Alligator mississippiensis: one gene and its partner. The protein of the gene in region 2 interacts with the protein of the main gene of each other region in a pairwise test. Links are inferred from orthologs where the notes say so. Each region holds a gene or a part of one and is shown on either strand. Other genes may lie near its edges.

The links. The genes of interacting proteins can lie anywhere in the genome.
Region 1: the proteins of BAG6 (region 2) and DNAJB11 interact in a two-hybrid assay, tested with the Homo sapiens proteins (2 studies listed by BioGRID and IntAct). The link is inferred for Alligator mississippiensis from reciprocal best matches to the Homo sapiens genes BAG6 and DNAJB11.

Annotation. Positions count from the first base shown.
Region 1 is NC_081830.1:33,027,403-33,037,625, reverse strand, and holds the start of DNAJB11 (dnaJ homolog subfamily B member 11), read right to left. Parts: upstream 4,793-10,223; 5' UTR 4,701-4,792; coding exon 4,633-4,700; intron 3,401-4,632; coding exon 3,244-3,400; intron 1-3,243. Other genes in the region: TBCCD1 (TBCC domain-containing protein 1), read left to right, coding at 6,246-6,590, 9,695-9,850. UniProt on the Homo sapiens protein: As a co-chaperone for HSPA5 it is required for proper folding, trafficking or degradation of proteins.
Region 2 is NC_081834.1:58,567,185-58,577,603, reverse strand, and holds the start of BAG6 (large proline-rich protein BAG6), read left to right. Parts: upstream 1-5,635; 5' UTR 5,636-5,717; intron 5,718-6,030; exon of another isoform or gene 6,031-6,119; intron 6,120-10,419. UniProt on the Homo sapiens protein: ATP-independent molecular chaperone preventing the aggregation of misfolded and hydrophobic patches-containing proteins.

The DNA.
Region 1 (10,223 bases), on a different chromosome or scaffold from region 2:
TTTTGAGAGAGCACTAAGCCTTGCCTACAACAGATGAGGCAAGCAACTATGGAAGTGGAAGAGGAGACATGAGTATCAGATAACTTGGGGCAGAGCACCATAACTGGTAAAGCCAGCCTGAAGCCATCATTATTTTCTGAACCTTGTTATGGCAAATCTTCCTCAGAATTCTGCGTTTTAACAGAGTGGAAGGGAAGACATGTTACAGGTTCTTAATCATACGATCAGAAAGGACTCCTTACAAAACCTGCACATATCCCACCTCAGGGGCAAAAAGTTGAATACTTTGCCTTCTGGTTGGTAGGTCTAAAAATCAGCCTATTAATGGAGAGTTCCCACTTCATATGGAGTCTTTCCAATCTCCATTCATCACTAACAAAGCTTTTCCTACTTGCCTGATCTATAGTCTTTCTTGGACTTTAGCAAGGCCGTCGATACGGTATCTCATCCTATTCTCATAAATAAATTATGAGGCTGTGACACAGATGTTTACACGGTTCAGTGGGTGGCAAATTGGCTTAGCGGTCGCGCCCAGACAGTGGTAGTAGATGGGTTGGTATCGACCTGGAAGGATGTGGGTAGTGGGGTCCTGCAGGGTTCGGTCCTTGAACCTGTATTCTTCAATATCTTCATTGATGACTTGGATGTGGGTGTGAAGTGTATCGTCTGCAAACTTGGACAGAGTACTAAATTGTGGGGTGAAGTACATACTCTGGAGGGTAGGGAACGATTGCAGGCAGACCTGGACGGACTGGAAGAGTGGGCAGTACACAATAGGATGCAGTTTAACAAAGACAAGTGCAGTGTGCTGCACCTAGGGTGCAAAAATATCCAGCACATCTACTGGCTGGGAAGTGACCCTCTCAGCAATACAGAAGCAGAAAGGGATCTCAGAGTCATATAGGACTCCAAGATGAACATGAGTTGTCAGTGTGATGAAATCAGCAAAGCTAACCGCAGTTTATCATGCATCAGCAGATGCATGATGAACAGAGTTGATACTTCCCCCTCTATGCAGCATTGATCAGACCGCAGCTGGAGTAGGGCATCCAGTTTTGGGCACCGTACTTCAAGGATGTTGATAGACTTGAGAGGGTCTGGAGAAGGGCCACTCGTATGGTTAGGGGCTTACAGTACAAGCCCTATGAGGAAAAACTGAGGGACTTGGACCTCTTCAGCCTCTGTAAGAGAAGGCTGAGAGGTGATCTTGTGGCCACCTACAAATTCATTAGGGGGATGCAGCAAGGGATCAGAGATGCTCTGTTCACCAGGGCGCCTCTTGGGGTGATGAGGAACAATGGCCACAAACTGACAGAGAGCAGATTTAGGCTGGACATCGGAAAAACTTCTTCACGGTAAGGGTGGCCAAAATTTGGAATGGGCTTTCAAGAGGGATGGTGCTCTCCCCTACCTTGGGGTGTCTTCAAGAGAAGGCTGGATAGGCATCTGGCTGGGGTCATCTGACCCTAGCACTCTTTCCTGCCTAGGCAGCGGGACAGACTCGATGATCTGTTGAGATTCCTTCCGATTCTAGCATCTATGAATCTAGTCAGCAAATGAAGAACTTTGTGGTACAGTTTGCAGATGACACAAAGGTTGGTGGGGAGGGGGAGCCGAGAGGAAGCAGCTAGTTTATTAAGCGACAATTCACTTTAACATTAAATTTCAGAATCCTAAGCCAAAAAAAAAATAAAAAAAAAATGCAGCTTTAGGTTTCCTTAGGTAAGTCAGGCAATAGACCAATCAAATAAAATCATTTGCCTGCAGGTAAATATTATCAAATATTGCATGATGCCAAGAATGCCACCCCCCCCCTTTTTTTTGTTTTGAAACATCACAGTGTCACCTATTAGCAAGGGCAGGAGTGAGGTCTCCATGCCCTCCTGCCCTGCCAAAATTAGGATTCACGCATATGAATACACCATTTCAGCGAAGTGCTCCATGCCCTGCCCTGACTCGAATTTGTCCAGTCTTCTCCTCCTTCCTGTGTTAAGTAACATACAGCCACTGGAGCTATTCTGTGCTGAGGGAGGAACCAACAGTATAGAATTGCTATGTGGTTTTTATTTCTGTTTAATTCTTTTTCCCCCTAATTTGTAAAGGTTTGGACTGATTCTGGGGTTGGGAATAAAAGCCAGGGAGAAGAAAAAGAAGTGTTCAGTCTCAAATGTATGCTTATCTAACAACGTTAGCTGTTGTCATTCATCACCGGTTTTTAGGATTTAAATTTCATTATTCCAGAAAATTAGTTCACCAACTTGGTTTTTTGGAATTAGCACAAATTTCTAACCTATTGAAGACTAAAGCATCTCTACTTTTCCAAGAAATAAATGCTTAAAATACTTGTCCATTATTTGACATTTTGCTGGTCAACTGACCAAGTATTTTCTGACTGGACAACTACTCAACCCTAATATTCTCAGACATTTGCAACAGCCACAGCAATCGCCTCTATCAGGGGTTGTTGACCTACAGCCTGTAGCCAGATCCAAGGTGACACAGCACAGGGGACTGGAGGCACAGAGCTATGTCATACCACACATGTCTGCTGCAGTCTTCCCTGCCACTCTCTTGCACCTGTCCTTACCCTTGCTGTAGACTGTGCCTTTCTCCATTGCTTCTGGAGGCAGAGAAACAGGTGGGCTTAGGTGCTCCAGGGAGCAGAGATCTGTGGCCTGTGGCTCTGGCCAGACAGAAAGCAGCAGTCTGCAGAGGCAGGTCGATCCGTGATCTATATTTTCTGGTTGCAGAAAACTAATTGCTGGCAGGATGCCTGGCAAACAACAAGGTATCCAGAACCCTCTCCAAGGGTCAGCAAACTCAGTCAATGAAAGAGTTATGTGTGGCTGCTTTTCCTCCTTACCTTCTCTTCCACAATCACCCAACTCTGGAAATAAGACTTGGGGTCTAGCATTTGGCCTGTGACCACTGCTAGAAACCTTACATGGATGGGGGAAAATAAAAATCCCATTTTTTTCATTAGCAAAGAAGAGGCTTTTTGCAATCTTCCTCTCCCAGCTATGGTAGACAAACTTAACTGACATGTCCCTTTTGCTGCTGCTGCAACTTATCACCAGGGAATTATAATCAGCATTAAAATATTTGACTGATGCACACTGGAAGGGCACCGCTGGATATAAAGGATCTTTTCCATGCACTCCTACATGAGCAAAGACACCAACTATGCAGGAAGGGCGAGGTCTGTATTAGAGCTGCAAGCAGATACCTGGTTAACTCACTGACCTCATAGGCTGCACCCAGGTCCTGGAACTTCTCTTGTGCGCGTGGATCGTCGGGGTTGCGATCTGGATGAAGCTGCAGGGCTAGTTTCCGATAAGCTTTTTTAATATCTTTTATTGATGCGCTGCGTGACACCCCCAGAATCTTATAGAAATCCCTCCTGAGAAACACAGGGCAAAGAAAGCATTCAGCTGCAGCTCCAACTTGGGTGCAAGCCTGGTGTGCTACTCAAAAAGCAACAAAGCATCCCGCCCCCCCCAAACAGTCAGTGCTGTTATTTTCACTTTACAAAAGGGGGAACTGAGATGCAAACAGACTCAGCAGATGGCTCAGGGACACACAGGGGAATTCTAGGGCAGAACTGAGATCAAGACCCTGGTGTCCTATGCCCCATTTCAGTGCTCTGCTAGGGATATCCTGGGGCCCCCTGTAGAGAGAAGTGATGGGGACTGACTCATGGTCAAACTGGACATCCCTGATACAGCCAGGATCAGAAGTTTGCTGAGTCCCAACCCAGGGCCTTAACAAGCACCATCCTTGCCTCCCATCAACCAGCATCCAGGAGGCTGCAGCCTGGATACTGTCCCCCCTTCAGCACCCACGCTTCTCCCTTCTTTATCCCCACATACTTCACCAGGCAAGGCTGGCAGCAGGGAAAGCAACTCATGTCACACTGCACCACCCTCTTGATACTCCAAAGCACATGAACCTGAGGCATTGATGGGTGTCAGAGGTACCCAGCCCTGGGGACTGACAGACCATGAGCAGAACGGGGAAGGAGATGCCTGGATGCAGGCACTGAATATGTAGGCCAGGCGTGGCCAAGCTGCCCTATAGGGTGCCACAAATGGCACGGGCAGCACCTGTGTGTAGGACAGCAGATGGGGCAGATAGGGGAAGTGACCGGGGGCAGACAGGGCAAGGGACAGAGGAGCCAATCCAGCAGGGAATGCAGGGCAGGGAGCAGAGAGCAGAGCAACAAATGGGACAGGAAGCACAGGGCAGAGAGCAGAGCAACTGATTGGGAGGGGAGCACAGGGAAGGCAGCAAAGTAGCTGAACAGGCAGAGAAGCAGATCACTGAGCAACTGACCAGGCAAAGGTAGGGGGACAGCACAAAGCAAGGGATGGGCAAAAACAGGGCAAGCAGAAGAGCACAGAGCAATGGATCGGGCAAGGAGCACAGGGCAGGGAGCAGAGCTCAGAGCAATCGATCGGGCAAGGCAGGCTACATGGCACAATAGAGCAGTGGGGGCGGGGAGCAGAACGAAGAGCAAGTGATGGGGCACGGGGCAGAGAGCAGAGCAACCGATTAGGCAGGAGCACGGGGGGGGGGGGGGAGGGCAGAGCGCGGGCGGGCGGGCAAGCGGGGGCTGCGGCTGCTTGTACTCACCCAGCGGTGGCCTCCCCGAGCAGGCAGAGCAGCAGCAGACAGAGGCGGCCGAGCGCGCGGCGGGACATAGCGGGGCCGGACCGCGGCGCAGGCCTCACTCGCCGGTAACCATGGACATGAAGCGGAGCCCGGCGAGCGGCGCGGACCAATGGGCGCCCAGCGCGGCGCAGATCGGCGGCCAATCCAAACTGCACACTTCACCACCCGGCCGGGCTGGCCGGCCAATCCCCGCCCTCGTCGTCAGCGCTCAGCGTCTGCGTCGCCGCAGCCCGCGAGCCAATCGCAGCGCAGCCAGGGGCTCCGCGTTACAGACCCGCAGGAAGCGTTCTCCTGGCAGGCCCAACCAATTCCAGCGCGGGAGCGCAAGCCCGCCCCCGCCACCGCAAGGCACCAATCGGCGCCTCGCAAGTGATGCAAGCCGAAGTCCTCCAATGGAGAGAGGGCAGTCTGATGCTTTTCGCTGGCAGGGACTGCCTGTTCGCGTGCGCAGACTGGTTGGGGTGCGGCTGTGTGACACTGCTGGGTGCCGGTGTGTAATAGTGGATGCATCAATCACTCGTGCACCGTAATTAGAGCGCTTTGAGTTTAGGAAAAGCGACAAGTACAGACTTAATGCGCTGCAATCGACGCTACTGGCAGCCGACTTAATTCTACTGCAGTCACGTGGCTTTCACTCTGACACAACACTGCACAGTAGCTCTCGCTTGTAGGTGACGCTAGTGGGCAGCAGGCCAATTCTACTGCGCACTACCACAGCTCTCACCGTGAAGCACTAATTAGTCTACTGCGCTTCTAGCATCTCGTGTATACAAGGGCAGTGGACGGTGGTGACTAGAATTTGTGCCTGTGAGAGTCTAACCATGGTTTACAGAAATCAGATTTGCTTCTTATTGACCCAAACCCAGTTTTTAAGAACGAGATGCGCTCCGCGGGCAGCGGACCAATTTGCTCCAGTAGCCAAGAGATCCTGTTTATTACGCTCCAAGGACGTGCAATCGCCACACCCAGGTCACACCCGTGCTACAGGCACAGCCGGCTGCAGGGAGACAAAACTCCTCCGGGTCGGGGCAGGACCCAGAGCCCGCTGGCTTGTGATCCCCGGCGGGGGTGTCACGCACTTTGACTGCGCTGGTGAAGCAAGCGGGGCAGGCAGCCCTTGCTCCAAGCAGCTCGCCAACACAGGAGGTCAGGAACGGGAACCAACTTCGCCCAGGGATGTGCGTGTTGAGCCTAGCCGCTTGCGGCTGAACCAGAGTTGCGGGGGTGCATAGGACCCTGCCCCATACATCCCTATGGAGTGAGTCTTGGCACAGGCGGATAGCGCAACCTACGGCTCCCCGTGCCGGGCCCGGATCTGACTCCACGGGCAGGGCTACGAGGCCCCGCCCGCCTCTGCCCCTGCTTAACCCAACTGGCCAGGACTACCAGCAGCGCGGCACCCCCACGTGCGCTCGGAAAAGGAAGTGCTGGTTTGTCTAGCCACCAACTTGCTGCTCCGGCGGAGCGCGCATGCGCGGCGGATAGCGCGCCCGTTCGAACAAGAGCGGGAGCCTCGTAGCGGGGCGCGCAGGCGCAGAAGGCCGCGGCGGGTGGCTGAAGGGGGCACGGCCGCCATGTCAGAGCCGGCCCCCGATCCGGCCCGGCTGTGGGTGCGCGCGGAGCCGCTGCTGCTGGGAGCGCTGCCGGCGCCGCCGCCCCCCAAACTGGGTCCGCACTATCTGCGCAAGATGGCGGCGTACGTGCGGGCGCGGGCGGGCGCGGGGGGCTGGCCGCGCCTGGGCTGGCCGCTGTGGCGCCGCATCGCCTGCGGGAAGCTGCAGCTGCCGCGGGATCTGGCGTGGCTCTACTTCGAGCGCTTCGACGCGCTGGCCCCGCGCAGCGCCGCCCAGCGCCTGGAGCGGGCCGAGGCCGCCGCCGCCTGCGCCTCGGACCACGAGCTGGAACAGCTAAGGAACCAGGCACGGCGGGGCTGGGCTCGGCTGGGGGCGGGGCTAGCCGGGAGGGGCGGGGCTTAGCGCCCAGAGGTGCCAGGGCGGGGCTTAGCCATGGGGGGCAGGGCTAAGGGTAGGGGACTGACCCCGGTACCCCTGGCAGCTGTCCGAGGAGCCTGGTGGGACCTGGCCTTGGTGGTGGGGTCAGTGGAGACACCCCCCCCCCTGCAGTCTCGCCCCCTGCCCTTGGTGGCTACTCAGCTGCAGCGCCCAGGAGCAGGGCCTGGGCTGCTGTCCTGCACCTGGCACTAGTGCAGCAGTGCTCACCCATTGTAGCGTTGAGGCCCCCTCAGGGAAACAGCAGCGCTGAGCTCGTTGATGATGGAAAGACAACAGAGCTGTTCTTTCCTTGAAAAGGACTTGGCAAGACCCTGGTAGCTTGGCACAGTTCAAAGGCAACAGATCCCATTTTGTGACCTCCAGCCTTATTTTGTGCCTGCGCACCTGACAGTGCTAAAATATTGTGTGGTGCCCTTAAAAGCATCTCTCAGCACCCCAGGGTGCGCTGCTCTGTACCCCCCACCCTTGGTTGAGAATTTGATGTTTTCTGTGTGTCTGGGGCAAACCCCAGTGACCAGATTTTCCCTTCGGAGTCACACTGTCATGTCTGTGATGCCAGTGTCCAACAATCTGTTTAACTGCGCTACAGATGGTATAAACTGAGGCCCCTTCCTGTATTAGAGCCATTTTAAACACTTCATATAGAAAGTACTAAAATAAAAAGCTATGGCATAAGCCTTCAAAAGCAGCGCACTGTACAGCTTGGAAACATATTCACAAAGGAGACTTCTATAAAAGTCTTCCGCAAACTACTTAAACGGGCCTCGCGTCCCCATATACGATACAAGTGAGATGAAATTTTTTTCTTTACTTTTTATTTTACAAGGAATCTTGACCGATCTAATGTGGTTTTGCTGACTGCCTTCTGAAGGCTGAGGGGGAACAAATCTATCCCCTTTAAAGGGAGGAGAGTTCAGAAAAAAACATTATTTAATGTGTTAATTAGTTAACGAAATTAGTGTCTATATTAACATAAGGGGGTCAAACTGGTTAAAAATCAGAGAGGCAGGGCATATTGAAGTCTTCTTTTGCTAGTTGTCACTTAGCTTGCTGGGAACTGAATCTTTGGCAAGGGGGATATCAGGACTCTCCAATACACATCAGAAAACTTTGGACCTTCACACATTTTAAGTCACTCCTTGTTCATACATATGCCAAAGAGGGCACAAAGCCCATTTCCCTGCTGTGTATGACGTAAAAAGAACACCTGCCTCATTTTGATAGTTTAAAAGTTTCAGCCCTTACTGGTTGCAGTCCTGGCACAGGAGGCTAAAGACATGTGTGTGCTCAAAAACTTATTCTTGTGGGAGAAACCCACCCTGTATTGGGGGGGAAAAAAAACTCCAGTAGTGAACAGAAGTTGCAGTATTGTTCCTACTTACTCATGTGGGGGTATAAATATTTGTGAAATATTGCAATATAAATTACATTATAAAACATTACAGGAATATGAGAGAGATTCTCATGATGTCCTAAAATCAAATGAGCTTAAGTGGCCAAATTCCTGACAGTTCTTTCCCTACCCCAAGAACAGTTGTCAATCATTTACATTATCTTTCTGGGTTTAGTGTTCATTCATAAAGTGAATCAGCTGTTGTGATCAGTCAGCCATCAGTAGTGTTTTCTGTGATTGAGATTGCAGAAAATATGCAAAACTAGGGTTAACTGAAACTTGCAAAGTGCAGAATTAAGAGGCAGGATTTGAATGCAGTTCAGATACTTGAGCTAGGGGGTGAAAAGACGTATCCCACTGAAAAAAAATGCTTTAAAGACAGAAATAACTGCTGTTTCAGCTTTTGATTTTTCAGAACAGCCAGTTTTCATTGAGAGCTTGCTGTTTTCAAAATGGAGCTCTGAACTAATGGGAAGAAGCTTTTAGCATGAATGTCCTCCCAGGGTTAAGAATGGCATTTACAGAGGCAAACCCTGTAAATATAGCTGCTGAGAGATGTTGATTTTCTGCATGTTGCTATATGACTGCCATTAAGATCTGTAAGGGGAGTACAATAAAGAGGGCTTGAAAAGTCAAGCAAACATCTTCCAAGCCCGAAATCTATTTAAGCTCAGTGATTTATTCTGCAACTCTAGTGCCTTCATCAGAACTGTTTAATAGCTGACTAGTGCCAAACACTAGATAGCACATGAAATCGAAATCAGTTAATGCTGTAGATACCAGGTTGTTGTCGGGGCCGAGGGGCTGTGGCCAGCAGCCTGAGCATGTGGGCCGGGGAAAGGGTTGGCACGGCGAACTAGAATTAGGGACGGACGCATAGAGGTTGATTAAGGATTATTTTACTTACACCGTAGGTGGTCGCGGTGCAGGCAGGAAAACTTTCTTGAGTTGCAGTTACAAAAAAAACACACATGTGGAGTTTGCTAGGCTCCGCTGAAGACACACGAGCGGAGTTTGCTAGGCTTCGCTAAACAAACATGAACAGAGCTCTGGATACGACTCATGGAGTTTGCTAGGCTCCGTGGACCGTCCGAAATGAGAGTTCGAAAGGTGACTCTCCACGAGCGCGCAGGGTAGGGTACGTCGAGGGATCGTGCGGCAACGGGGAGAGGCTAGAGGTTGATCAGGTCCCTGTATCCTCCTTTAAGGCACACGCGGAGTTTGTTAGGCTCCGCAGCACGCTTAGAGTTCTTCACGAGATGGATGTGAAGTCCTCCTCCTCCAACTTGAGCGGAAACTGCTCAAGCCTCTTATACGGCTAGCAAGCCAACGGCTAGCTGCCACGTGGGAATAATTTAGAAACAGCCAATAGTGGGAAACAAATTTACATACGGGTGGCGGGAACTCCTTTGCACTGGGATTTTCACTATGCAACTGAGAATTGCACCATGCAAAGAAAGCTCCATGTGGCGGGAAATAATTCTGCAGTGCCGAAGCGCACACAAAATCATACCCTTTGGGACATGACAGTTGTCTCGATTTTAAAAGACTAATTAAATGATTGTAGCCATTGGTAATGTTCTGGTTAATATTAATACTGTGTTTCCTTCTTGATCAGTTTTCGGTAGATACTCTACAGTTCCTGCTGTTCTTGTACGTTCAGCAACTAAACAAGGTTTCTCTGAGGACATCTTTGATTGGTGAAGAGTGGCCAAGTCCTAGGACCAGATCCCAGTCTTCCAGTTTGATTGGAAAATCCACCTGTCAAAACAAGGTATTGTGCTTAACCCAGTCCCCATAAAAGTTAGTATGTGGGTGAGGCTACAAAACCTCCACTACAAGCTAGCCCTGGGGGGGGAGAAAGAGAGTTTGTGGAAGACTGAACTTCTGCTTATGCTTTTCTTATTAACTCATATATCCTGCTAGAGCTGCACCTCATTAATAGAGCTAATAAATAGTATATAATCTTGTCTTGGGATGTTCACTGTGATTCACATTTTAGAAATTTAAAATGTTATCAATGGAAATTTGTTGCAGGCTGAACTTTTACATAGTCTCAACCTATGATGAGTCTTCTAAAACCTTATGCCCAGAATCTCAGCAAAGCTGAAAATGTTCATGTATTGCAGAAGCTGCTCTTCCACAAA
Region 2 (10,419 bases):
ATTGCTCTGTGTCTCTCTACCTCTCTGCAGGGCTGAGGAGGTGATGCCTCTGCATCCAGCCCCCACGTTCCCTGGGCAGGACAGGAGAATTGGGGAGAGCAAGCCGCAGGAGGCTCTGATGAGATTCCTGGGTATGGGGCACTTCCAGGGCTGCTGTCTCATTGTACTGGGGCAGAGGCAGGGGAAGGGGGAGAGGGTCCTGCAGGGGAAGCTGTGTTGGAGGAGAGCCCCAACAAGTGCATCCCCAGTGTGGCAGAAGGGTGAGTCCTTCGGGAGAGTCTTGGCTGGTCAGATGTGAGACATTACCACAGATGGATTCAGGGCCAGATCCTCAGTGCCCCAGGCCTCCAGGGAGGATGTCTAATTGAGCCCAGCTGAGCCCCGGGGACTCAGGCAGTTTGTGCATTAGTTTCCAGCTTCAGCAGCTCTCTAGGGGAATGGCAGCACCTGGAAGAGCTCTGGGACTCCTCCTTACCAGTGCCAATGTTAAATCAAGACCCCAGTGGCGACTACTGTGTGGCAGTCAGAGCATTGCCCATCCTTGTCAGTGGTGAGACAGGGCAGAGCTAGGCTCTGTGGGGAGGAGGCCTGGAGCGGATATAGAGCTGTTGCTAAACAGCCAGGTCTGTACCTGTCACTGTGAGATGTCAGCAGCTGGAGACTCAAATGCCCAGACACATGGAGGGGCCAAGTGGGGGCTGCTGAGAAGGGGAGGCTGAGAACCGAGACCCCAAACATCAGGGCAGGGAAGAGGAACAGTTGCACAGTGACACCAAACCCCACAGTGCTGCTGGATGTGACACTGGGATTTCCTCACCCAGACAGACCAGGGCCCCCTCTTCTGGGCCAGGCTGCTGAGGATTGAGCTGCCCTGGGGACCCCCACTCTGGGACTCCCTGTGTTGGGAATGGCTCAGTTCTCCATCAGCTGCCGCAGGGATCAGAGACCAAACACTGCAGCACTGACTCTTATCTTGCCCCAGCTCCTGGGCAGTTTCAGGCGTTTGGGTAAGTAAGGACAGCAGGATTTGTCCCAGTGTCTGCACTGGGTCATGCTGCAGTGACTCTGCTGTGTGAATTATCACCTCTCTCTTTGCTGCTTGATTCCAGAGTTCAGAAGAGCCCGAGGACACACAGGTGAGTGACCCTGACCCCATATCAGTGACCCCAGAGCCCTCCTTGGAGAACTTTGCTTGCTACAGCCACTGCTCCCACCATCCTGGTGACCTGAAGGTGGGCTTTGTGACCAGCAAGATTCAGTGCATCCCTGCTGCATTCACCCCTCACTGCTCCCAGCCCAGCACACTCTGTACGCCCTGGGCCCTGGACAGGGCTGGTCTCTGAGCCATGTGAGATCCCAGGCCCAGGGTGTTTTGGGATTCTCAGTCGATCTCCCTGGCACTGAGCCTTGTGCAGCAGCTTCTTCTGCTACGGTTGGTCTATTCTGTCCATGCAGTGCCCACACGCTTCCCAGAGCCCAGCAAGTGTCCTGGGCCTGCCTTGGGAGACCTGTGCCTGGGTCTGGGAAGATCGATAGGTCCATCCTTAAGGGGCTTTGATGCCCCAGGTCAGCAATGTGGGGTGGGTGAACCCTGCTCTTGTGAATGGGGCAGGCTCTGCAGGGAGACCTGGTGTTTCCCGCTCTTCACTGTGCAATACTTGGAGGGCAGAAGACCACTGTCCCAGCAGTGCCCCTGGTCTTGTCTGCATGGGGTGTTCTTGGCCCAGTGCATGACTCCAGTGCAAACCCCTGGAACAGATGCACTGCCTGGGAGTGAATGGAGATTTGCCCCTGGGGCAGCTGAGCCCACGGAGAGGGGGCAGTCAGTGGGGAAATGCCCCTAGCCCCCTCAGTAACCCGCACTCAGCAGTGGGCTCTTGTGCTTGGTTCCAGTTGTCTGGGCTGGCTCGAAAGAAGTGAGCACAGCCCAGATGCATGACCCTGCCCGGGGCTCTGTGGAGCGAGCAGTTGGCTCTGCCAGGGCTGCCCTGGCTGCAGAGCCAGCAGCACTTGGCAGACTGCAGCCAGAGGATCAGAGACAGGGCTCCTTTTATTAGACCAACTATTTATTTGGTGTAATAAAAGATATTGGATTTACCCCCAAGACCTTGTCTACCCATGTCCTTGGACCAACATGGCTACAACCAACACCCCCAAGGATGGAGAAACATTTGGCTTCCCAGACCTGAGCAGAGAAAAGGCGCCCCTTGCCGAGGGGCTGGGGTGAGCTGGGGTTCGGCCGAGGGCAGCAACCACAGGGACCTTGGTTTTGCTTTTCCAGACTGGAGGCAGGAGCCACAGTTGTGCCTCTCCCAGAACAGCCGTAGGAAGGAGTGGGGTTACAAGCATCTGTCTCTGACCCTGCTCTTGTAGCCACCCTGGGACTGAGGCCAGTCTCACAAGGGAGGTGGCCTGCAACTGGGCCCCCTGTTCCCCCACAGCCCGGCCCCCATCCACTCCTCAGCCCCGGGAGCAGGGCCTGCCTCTCCCCTGTCAGGCCCCAACTCCAGCTCCCCAAAACGAGCACCTGCCCCGACACACAGACCCCATGCAGGCAGCCCTGGGTTGGGCCGCGCTTGCTGCCTCGTTCAGGGCAGGAAACCCCCATGGCCCAGACCCGCATGCAGGGGTGGCCGTGTGGACAGGCTCCACTTGCAGCCAAGCTGCCTGCCCCAGTGAGGTGTGGGGGGTGCAGGGTGGGCAGCGGGGCTAGCCCCAGTCCTGGCCCTGCCTGCAGGTCCTCCTGGGCACAGCAGAGGTGGCTCCTGTGTGAGCACCTGGGGCACAGGAGCAGCAGCTCCTCTGCCCTTATGTGGGGGCAGGTATGTGGGCTGGGGGCACTTAGGGAGTTGGGGAGATCGGGGGGTGGGGGTGCTGCTGGCCCAGCTCACCCAAGCTCCCTCCAGCACAAGGAATTGTCCCCCCTGCCCTAGACACTCCCTGACTGCAGGGACGGTGGGCTGGGCAGAGGTTTCTTGTATCCAGATGAGTGGCAGCAAGCAGAAGTGGTTGGGGTTGTGGGAAGGGTTTTGCTCATGTGGGGCTTGGCAGGAGGCCAGGCTCAGCCACATGTGAACAGCCGCTTCTTTGGACAGCACTTACTAGGAAACTGGGACCCAGAGGGTTCTCTTGGCAGAGCTTCAGGGCCTGGCGTGTGCTTGCGGGGCCTTTGCTTGGCACCTGTCCTGGGGACAGTGGGTCTTGCCTTGGCACAGGGGAAAGCCCAGAGGTGAAGCTCATTCCTCTCCCTGGCCGGGGATTCCAAACCCATTTAATAGATTCATAGACTGTAAGGCTGGAAGGGACCTCGGAAGATCATCGGGTCTAGCTCCCTGCACAAGGCACTCTGGAGCCAGGGGCGCCATTCACGGGGGAGGGAGGACAGCAACTCTCCCAGGGGGGGAAGGACAGGGAGATGAGCAGGGTCAAGGGAGGGGGAGCATGGAGGACCCACCTTCCAAGCGAAGGAACTGCTTCTTTCAGCCTGGTCCTGAAAAGCACAAGCATGAGGAGGCCCCTGGAGCCCGGCCATTGCTCTGCTGGATGCTGAGGCCACAGAGCGTGACCCTAAGGAAGGGCAGTTACCACTGTATAGGGAAGGGCCCAGGAGGGGAGTGGGTGCAGAAACTCCTCAGTATCACAGCCGAGGGGCTGGGCTCCTCCAAAGGCTGCTTGGAAGGAGACACTGCTCTGGGATGAGGCCATGGGATAGGACAGCCATGACCAGGAGGAGCAGGGCCAGCGCCTGCCCACTCTGCTGAGTTGGCACATGTTTAAAAAAAATCTGGATTTTTTTTGCTTGGATCACTTGATCCCAGCTGACTTCCTGCCTATGGTGAGGGGGGGGGGAGGGGGGGGGCTGGACTTGATGATCTTATGAGGTCCCTTCCAGCCCTTACTGTCTATTCATCTATGACTCCCAGCTGGCTGGTGAAGGCCAGGGTACTGGGACACTGGTAGAACAGCTCACTGGAGAGCAGGACCTGCAGCTCAGCCACTCGCTGCTATGTGAGCTGACACACACACAGTGGCTCTCAACCAAGGTGCCATGGCAGGTGTTGGGGGTGCCACACCGTGTTAATGTTCTTACGTATGCAGATACGAATTGCAAGATTAACCCAGAGTTTTCAGCTAGAAATCCAGTGTTCAGATTCATAGGTGTTAGGGTCCGAAGGGACTTCAGTACATCATTGAGTCCAACCCCCTGCCCTGGGCAGGAAAGAGCGCTGGAGTTAGATGACCGCAGTCAGGTGCATGTCGAGCCTCCTCTTAAAGACCCCCAAGGTAGGGGAGAGACATGTTAGAGATGTCTTGCCTGCTGCGGCCTTTCTGAGTTCTTTGCAACAGAAGAATTGCTCTATTCTTTTTCCAGACTCAAAAAGGGAATTAAACCAGAGCTGGCCTTTTCTGAGGGGCGCCTTGAGTCTAATGAGAGATGCCTTGAGTGTAAAAAGGTGGAGAACCAGTGCAGCCCCAGACCCTGCAGAGACTGTGCATGCAGGGAGGGCTGGTGTTAACTATTCCCCTGCCCTGGCTCGCTCTGCTTGGGCCCCTGTCTCATACACTGGCAGCTCTGCCCTGCCCTGCCCTGCCCCTGCAGTCAGGAAAAGATAAACTTATTTGTAGCTGCTGTTCCCCAGGAGCAGTGGAGCTGGAGCCATGGCTGTAGGGAAGCTGGCAGGGAGGTTCCAGGCAGAGGTGACTTGCTCCATGTGTTTGGACTAATTTATGGATCCGGTGATGACTGACTGTGGGCACAGCTCCCCACGGTGGGGCAGCTCTCCCAGAGGCAGGGTTCACGTGTGGGACCTTACCTCAGCCCTGCATTTCCTTCCTACGGTTCATCTTTCCGTAGGTCGGGAGTACGTGCTCTGGCTCTCAGGGTGCCAGTTAAGCAGTCGCCACTTTCTCCACCCTGGAAGTGAATGAGGCACCGGCCGGCAGGCCCGACTCCTGTGTGCGGGAGGTCCCATGGGTGATGGGGGTGTCTCCTGGGATGCTCCCCATCATCTCCCTTGGCCGACGCCGGCTTGAAAGTCTCTGCACGAAACACTTCTTCCATTCTTAGATCCTGGGACAAACCCAGGCCTGGTGAAAGCCCAAGACCAACAGGACACGCAGCCCTTTGAGGCGATCTGTGCCTGTGGGTTTTACGCCGGGACCCAGGGCCTTACAGATCCCGAACCTCTGGTCAGGATTTCAGCCCCTTTGGTTCGGGGTGTGATCTTTTCTCTAGATCAGTCTGTCTAACGTATCTCACGTACATCTGCTGACAGTCCAGGGCCAAGAGCAGCACGGGGCAAATTCATGCCCCACCTCCCTGGGGGCACAGCCCTCATCACCCCGCCCCCGCGCGGGTAGCCACTGACATCTGGCGGGAAGGGGGCACCGAGCCCTGCGCATGCGCGACGGGAGCCGGGGGCTCAAGCTCTGCCCCATGAGAACTTCAGCGTGTGGGCGCCTACAGCACTGCCTGATCCAAACCGGCGTGAGACGCGGCCGCCCCGCGGACTCTTCTCACACGCGGCCGCACACCGACATGCCCCTCAGAGGGCGGGGGATGGGGGGGGGCCCGTCGCAGCGGTGACGGGGCGCATCAGGCGCGCCGCTAGCAGCCCCATTTGGCCCCGAGTCTTGAGGCCCCCGTCCCCACGTCACGCATGCGCAGAGCGGTGTGCGCCGCAGAGCAGCCGGTGCGGGGAGTCTCTCGCAAGCAGGTTCGGACTTGGGCTTGGTGGGGACCCGGAAGCGGCCCGTGGGGACCGGAAGTGAACCCCGTTTCATTACCAGGGACACCGGAAGTCACCCAATTTGAGATAAGAAACCGGAAGTCATCCTTTTTGACCGAAAGTCGCCCCCTTTTGACCGGAAGCCCCATCTCATTCCTCACGCGCCCCCTCTTTTTGAGTGGGTGGGACCGGAAGTGCTACCTTCTCTCTGGCCGGAGCCCCCAGCACGGAACCGCCTTTTCTTTCCGTAAAGTTGCCCGATTTTTTTATGGACGGGAAGTGGTTCTGCGCCTACCGGAAGTGACGTCCTGGGCAGGAAAGGGGGCGTGGCCAGGTGTCTGTTGGGCCTCTCCCCTTCCTTTCCCCCCCTCCCAGCCCTAGGAGCTCTCGGTGGGTACCTGCGCGTGTGGGGGAGGGGTGATGGGGGTCTCGGTCCCCCCCCCCCCGCCCCGCGGAGGCGGGGTTATACCCTCCCTGATCCCTCTGTGGGCAGGTATAGCCGGCCTTCTGCCCCCGCCCCCCCTGCAAGCCTGGTGAGGAATGGGGTAATTCGGGTCGGGGGGGTGCTGACCCGTCCCTCCCCCTTCCCAGGGGGGAACCAGGAGGGTCGGTGGGAGGTTCAAGGTCAGTCGCTATAATGATAATATAAGGAGAAGTGTGTATTTAGGCATCATGCCCAGTGTCTTTAATGTGTTGGCAGCCTGCTGGGCTGTGCCAGCGCTCCTGCTGGGGCTCAGCCCCGGGGTCCTGGCTAGAGGGTCTTCCCCTTTGTTCGGGGTCGAGCCGACGCTGTGTCAGGAAGGAATATTCCCCCCGATCGGGCTGGTGGGGACTGGGCGTGGGGGGGGGGGGTGTCAGCCTCTGTAGTGGGGGGTGCGGCCCGTGCCTGGGATCTCTTGAGTGATTGTTAACAACCTGTTGCAGACAGAGGACGTTGCTGCAGTCCCCCTGCTTTCCCTGTGGCAGGTTCGGGTGTGGTCTGTGCTGTCAGGGTTGGTGGTCGTCTTACGTTTACCTGAGTTTACCTGATGGATTTGTCTGAGCTGGTCGCGCCAGGGCTGACCCTGCCTCAGGCTGGGGGTTGGACTAGAGGTGACAACTGGAGGTCCCTTCCTGCCCCACTTCTCATGATTATGCCCCCTGGAGACTCCTTCCCGTTCTGCATCCCTAGGATTTCTGTGATTCTCTGAATTATCCAAACCCTCTTTGTTATGCGTAGGAAGACTGTGGGCCTGGGCTCCTTGCTGTACACGAGGGACTGTAGGCCCATGCAGAAACTGCTAGCCCTGTCTCCACTTCGACCTACTAGGTGCTTCAGAACAAAATTGGTGGGAGAATCAACGAGAAAAAACCAGGGTGGGAGTTGGGGGGGAGGGTGGAGGCCTACAGCCTATAAAATTAGGCTGTAGGCTAATTTTGAGGGCTCCAAGGGGGCACTAGCCCTTGAAGAAGCCCAAGAAGCCAGTGGGGGTCACCCGGTGATGCTCTGCCTGGAGATGTGTCCTAGTGAGGACCAGGAAGACGGCCCCACAGTCATCAGGGTTCCTCCTACAGGCATGTCTGTTATGTGCGTGGAGTTGTGGCCTGGGCCCACCAAGGGAACCACACGCTTCCCTTAATTAGGGCAGTTGATAGGGCAATGGTTTTCAAACTGGGGGGCGTGAAGGAATGTTGGGGGAGAGAGGGGCAGGCAAGACGTTTGCAATGAGCCGGCGCTGCTGCAGCCTCACAGGGATGCAGGGGCAGGACGCCCCAGACAGGCTCTGCCAGCAGGCTGCTGCGACTCTGGGAGCCTGGCATGGCAGGTGTGCAAGGTAGAACTTCAGTGGGGCCAAGGCAGGAGGCACTGGAGCTGCAGCAGGTGGAGTCTGGCCCCCCCGAACCCAGTGGCTGTTAGGCTGAGGGGCACCCTGTGCCTGGTTGTGCTGCTTCCCTGGGTTGGGGTGGGGGCATGAACAAAACTGTAACTCAAAGACAGGCTTTTCTCGAAGTTTACTGCAATAGGGGCACAATAATTGATTCCTTGGCACAACTAATGCAGAAAGAGGGACAGAAGTAGGGGTTGGAGGTTGACAACAAGTGCTCCAAGGCGGGGTAGGGGAATTAAACAGGCCTTTTTGCTTTGCCAAGAGGATTGTGGGCCAGTGCCTACCAAGGAAACTTTAAGTCCCCCTTAAGAAAGGAGGGGGAATTATACAGAAGGGAAGGATTTCTTAGGGGGCCTCGTAAGAGACCATGAGAGGTCTGTCTTCCTTATGATCCTATAAGTGATAACGAGTTAATACATGAAGCAAGGATTTCCCTAGGGTGATCTCTCTTATTGCACCGACTGCAGGGTGGAGTTTGATAGGCTTTCGAAAGCAAAACTTCCTAGTTTGGGTTTGAGCAGGAAAACATTTCAGCATTTGCTGCCTTGGCTTTATATCTGTCAGTTTCAAGCCCTGAAACTGACTAGTGCTTCCCAAACTTTTCCTTGGTATGACTCCATTTATGGCCCCATTTCCTCAACATGCCGCCCCTGCCCCAAACCCACAGGTCCCCACCCCCATGACCCCATCTGCTGATTTTGTGACCCTACTTGGGGTCAGAACCCACAGTTTGGGAACCACTGGACTAGGCCCTCTTGATAGCAAGGCTTTTAATGCTGCCTTTGAAACTGACTTGATCTGTCAGTATGCAAGCCACACACCAGTCCTGAAACTGACTAGATTTTGCCAATATCAGGGCTTTTGATGTGTCCCCTGAAACTGACTAGATCTGTCCCTATCCAAGCTGCACCTACCTGTCCTGAAACTCACTAGACTCTGCCAGGACGGTGGCTTTTAATACAGCCTGTGCAACTGACTAGATCAGTCAGTAGAAGGGTCCTAATAGGGATCTGAAACTGACTAGGCCCAGTGGATATCAGGGCTTTTGAGGGACCAGTCCCTGAAACTGACAGGATCTGTCAATATCAGGGCTCCAGTTAGCAGTCATGGAATTGATTAGACCCTGCCAATATCATGCTTTTAATATTCACCTTGGAAAGACTGGATTGGTCAGAGTGGAACTGACTTGATCTCACTAATTGGGCTTTTAACACCAGCCCTCTGAAATTGACAGACCCTGTCAGCATCAAGGCTTTTTATAGGAGAGCTGGAGCTGGCTAAGGGCTGTCCATACATATCAGGGCTTTTTAATTCAGCTTCTGAAAGTGATTAGATCTGTCAGTGTGGAACTGACCGGACCTTGCCCATATCAGGGCTTCTGATGTTGCCAGCCCTTGAAATTAGCCAAGCCCATGGTTTTTAATACCAGCCCCTCTGAAACTGATGAAATGGGTCAGTATCTGGGTTTCAAAACTGACTAGACTCGCTCATATCAGGGCTTTTAATTCAGCCCCTGAAACTGATGAGGTCTGTTCTATCCAGGCATTTAATAGTAGATTTGACACTGACAGTAATCCAGCCTCTGAAACTAACAAGGTCTGTCAGTACCAAGGCATTTAATAGCACATCTGCAACTGAGTAGGGGCTGGCAGCCTCTGAAACTGACCAGATTGGTCAGTATCAGGGCTCTTACCCCTCTTGAAGCCAGTGAAAGGGCTTTTAACAGCAGCGCCTGAAACTGACTAGGCCTGTCAGTGTGCATCTGACACAGGCCTGTCAATATCTGGGCTTCTGAGCTACCAGCCCCAGAAACTGACTATTTCTGTCATTTTCAGGGCTCTTAAAGAGCTCTCTGGAAACTGACTAGACCCTGCCAAGATGGGGGCTTTTAATCCAGCCCCTGAAACTGACCAGGTCTATCAGTATCAAGACATTTAATGGCAGATTTGAAACTGACCAGGGGCTGCTAATATGAGGGCTTTAATGCTACTGCCTCTGAAACAGAACAGATTTGTTAGTATCAAAAGTCCAAATACCATCTTGAAACTGACTGGACCCTGCCTTTAAGGGAGCTTTTAACAGCAGGCTGTGAAACTGACCAGATTGGTTGTTAGGAAATTGATTTGAGTCTGTCAATATCAGCTGCCAGCCTCTGAAACTGACTAGGTCTGTCAGTCCAGAGCCTTTTAATAGCAGACCTGAAACTGACTAGGGGCTGCTAATATTAGGGGTTTTGATGCCACTGGCCTCTGAAACTGACTGTGTCTGTCCATGTTGGGGTTCCTAATAGCAGTCTTGAAACTGACCAGACCCTTCTAATACCAGGGTTTTAATACTGCCCCTGAAATGGACCTGGTCTGGTTTTATGAAACTGATTAGGACTGGGCAATATCAGGGCTTCTGATGCTACTGGCCCTTGAGACTGACCAGCTCTGCAAGTATCCAAGCTCCAAACCCTGGTCCTGACCCTGTTCATATTGGGGCTTTTAGTTTAGCCCTGAAACTGATGACAGCAATCACTGTGAAACTTACTAGGTGCAGTCAATACCAGGATTTCTGATGCTACCTGAAACTGTCCATATCTGTCAGTCTCCTGGCTGGTATTTGGGATCTTTGAAATAGACCAGAGTCTGCTGATAACACCACCCCTGAAAGGGACAAGATCTCTTGGTTTGCAGCTGGCTGGGCCTAGCCAATATCAGGACTTCTGATGCTACCAGACCCATGAAACCGACCAGATCTGTCAGTCTCACAGATCCAAATATTTGTCCTGAAGTTGACTAGATCCTGCCCACATCAGGGTTTTTAATACAGCCCCTGAA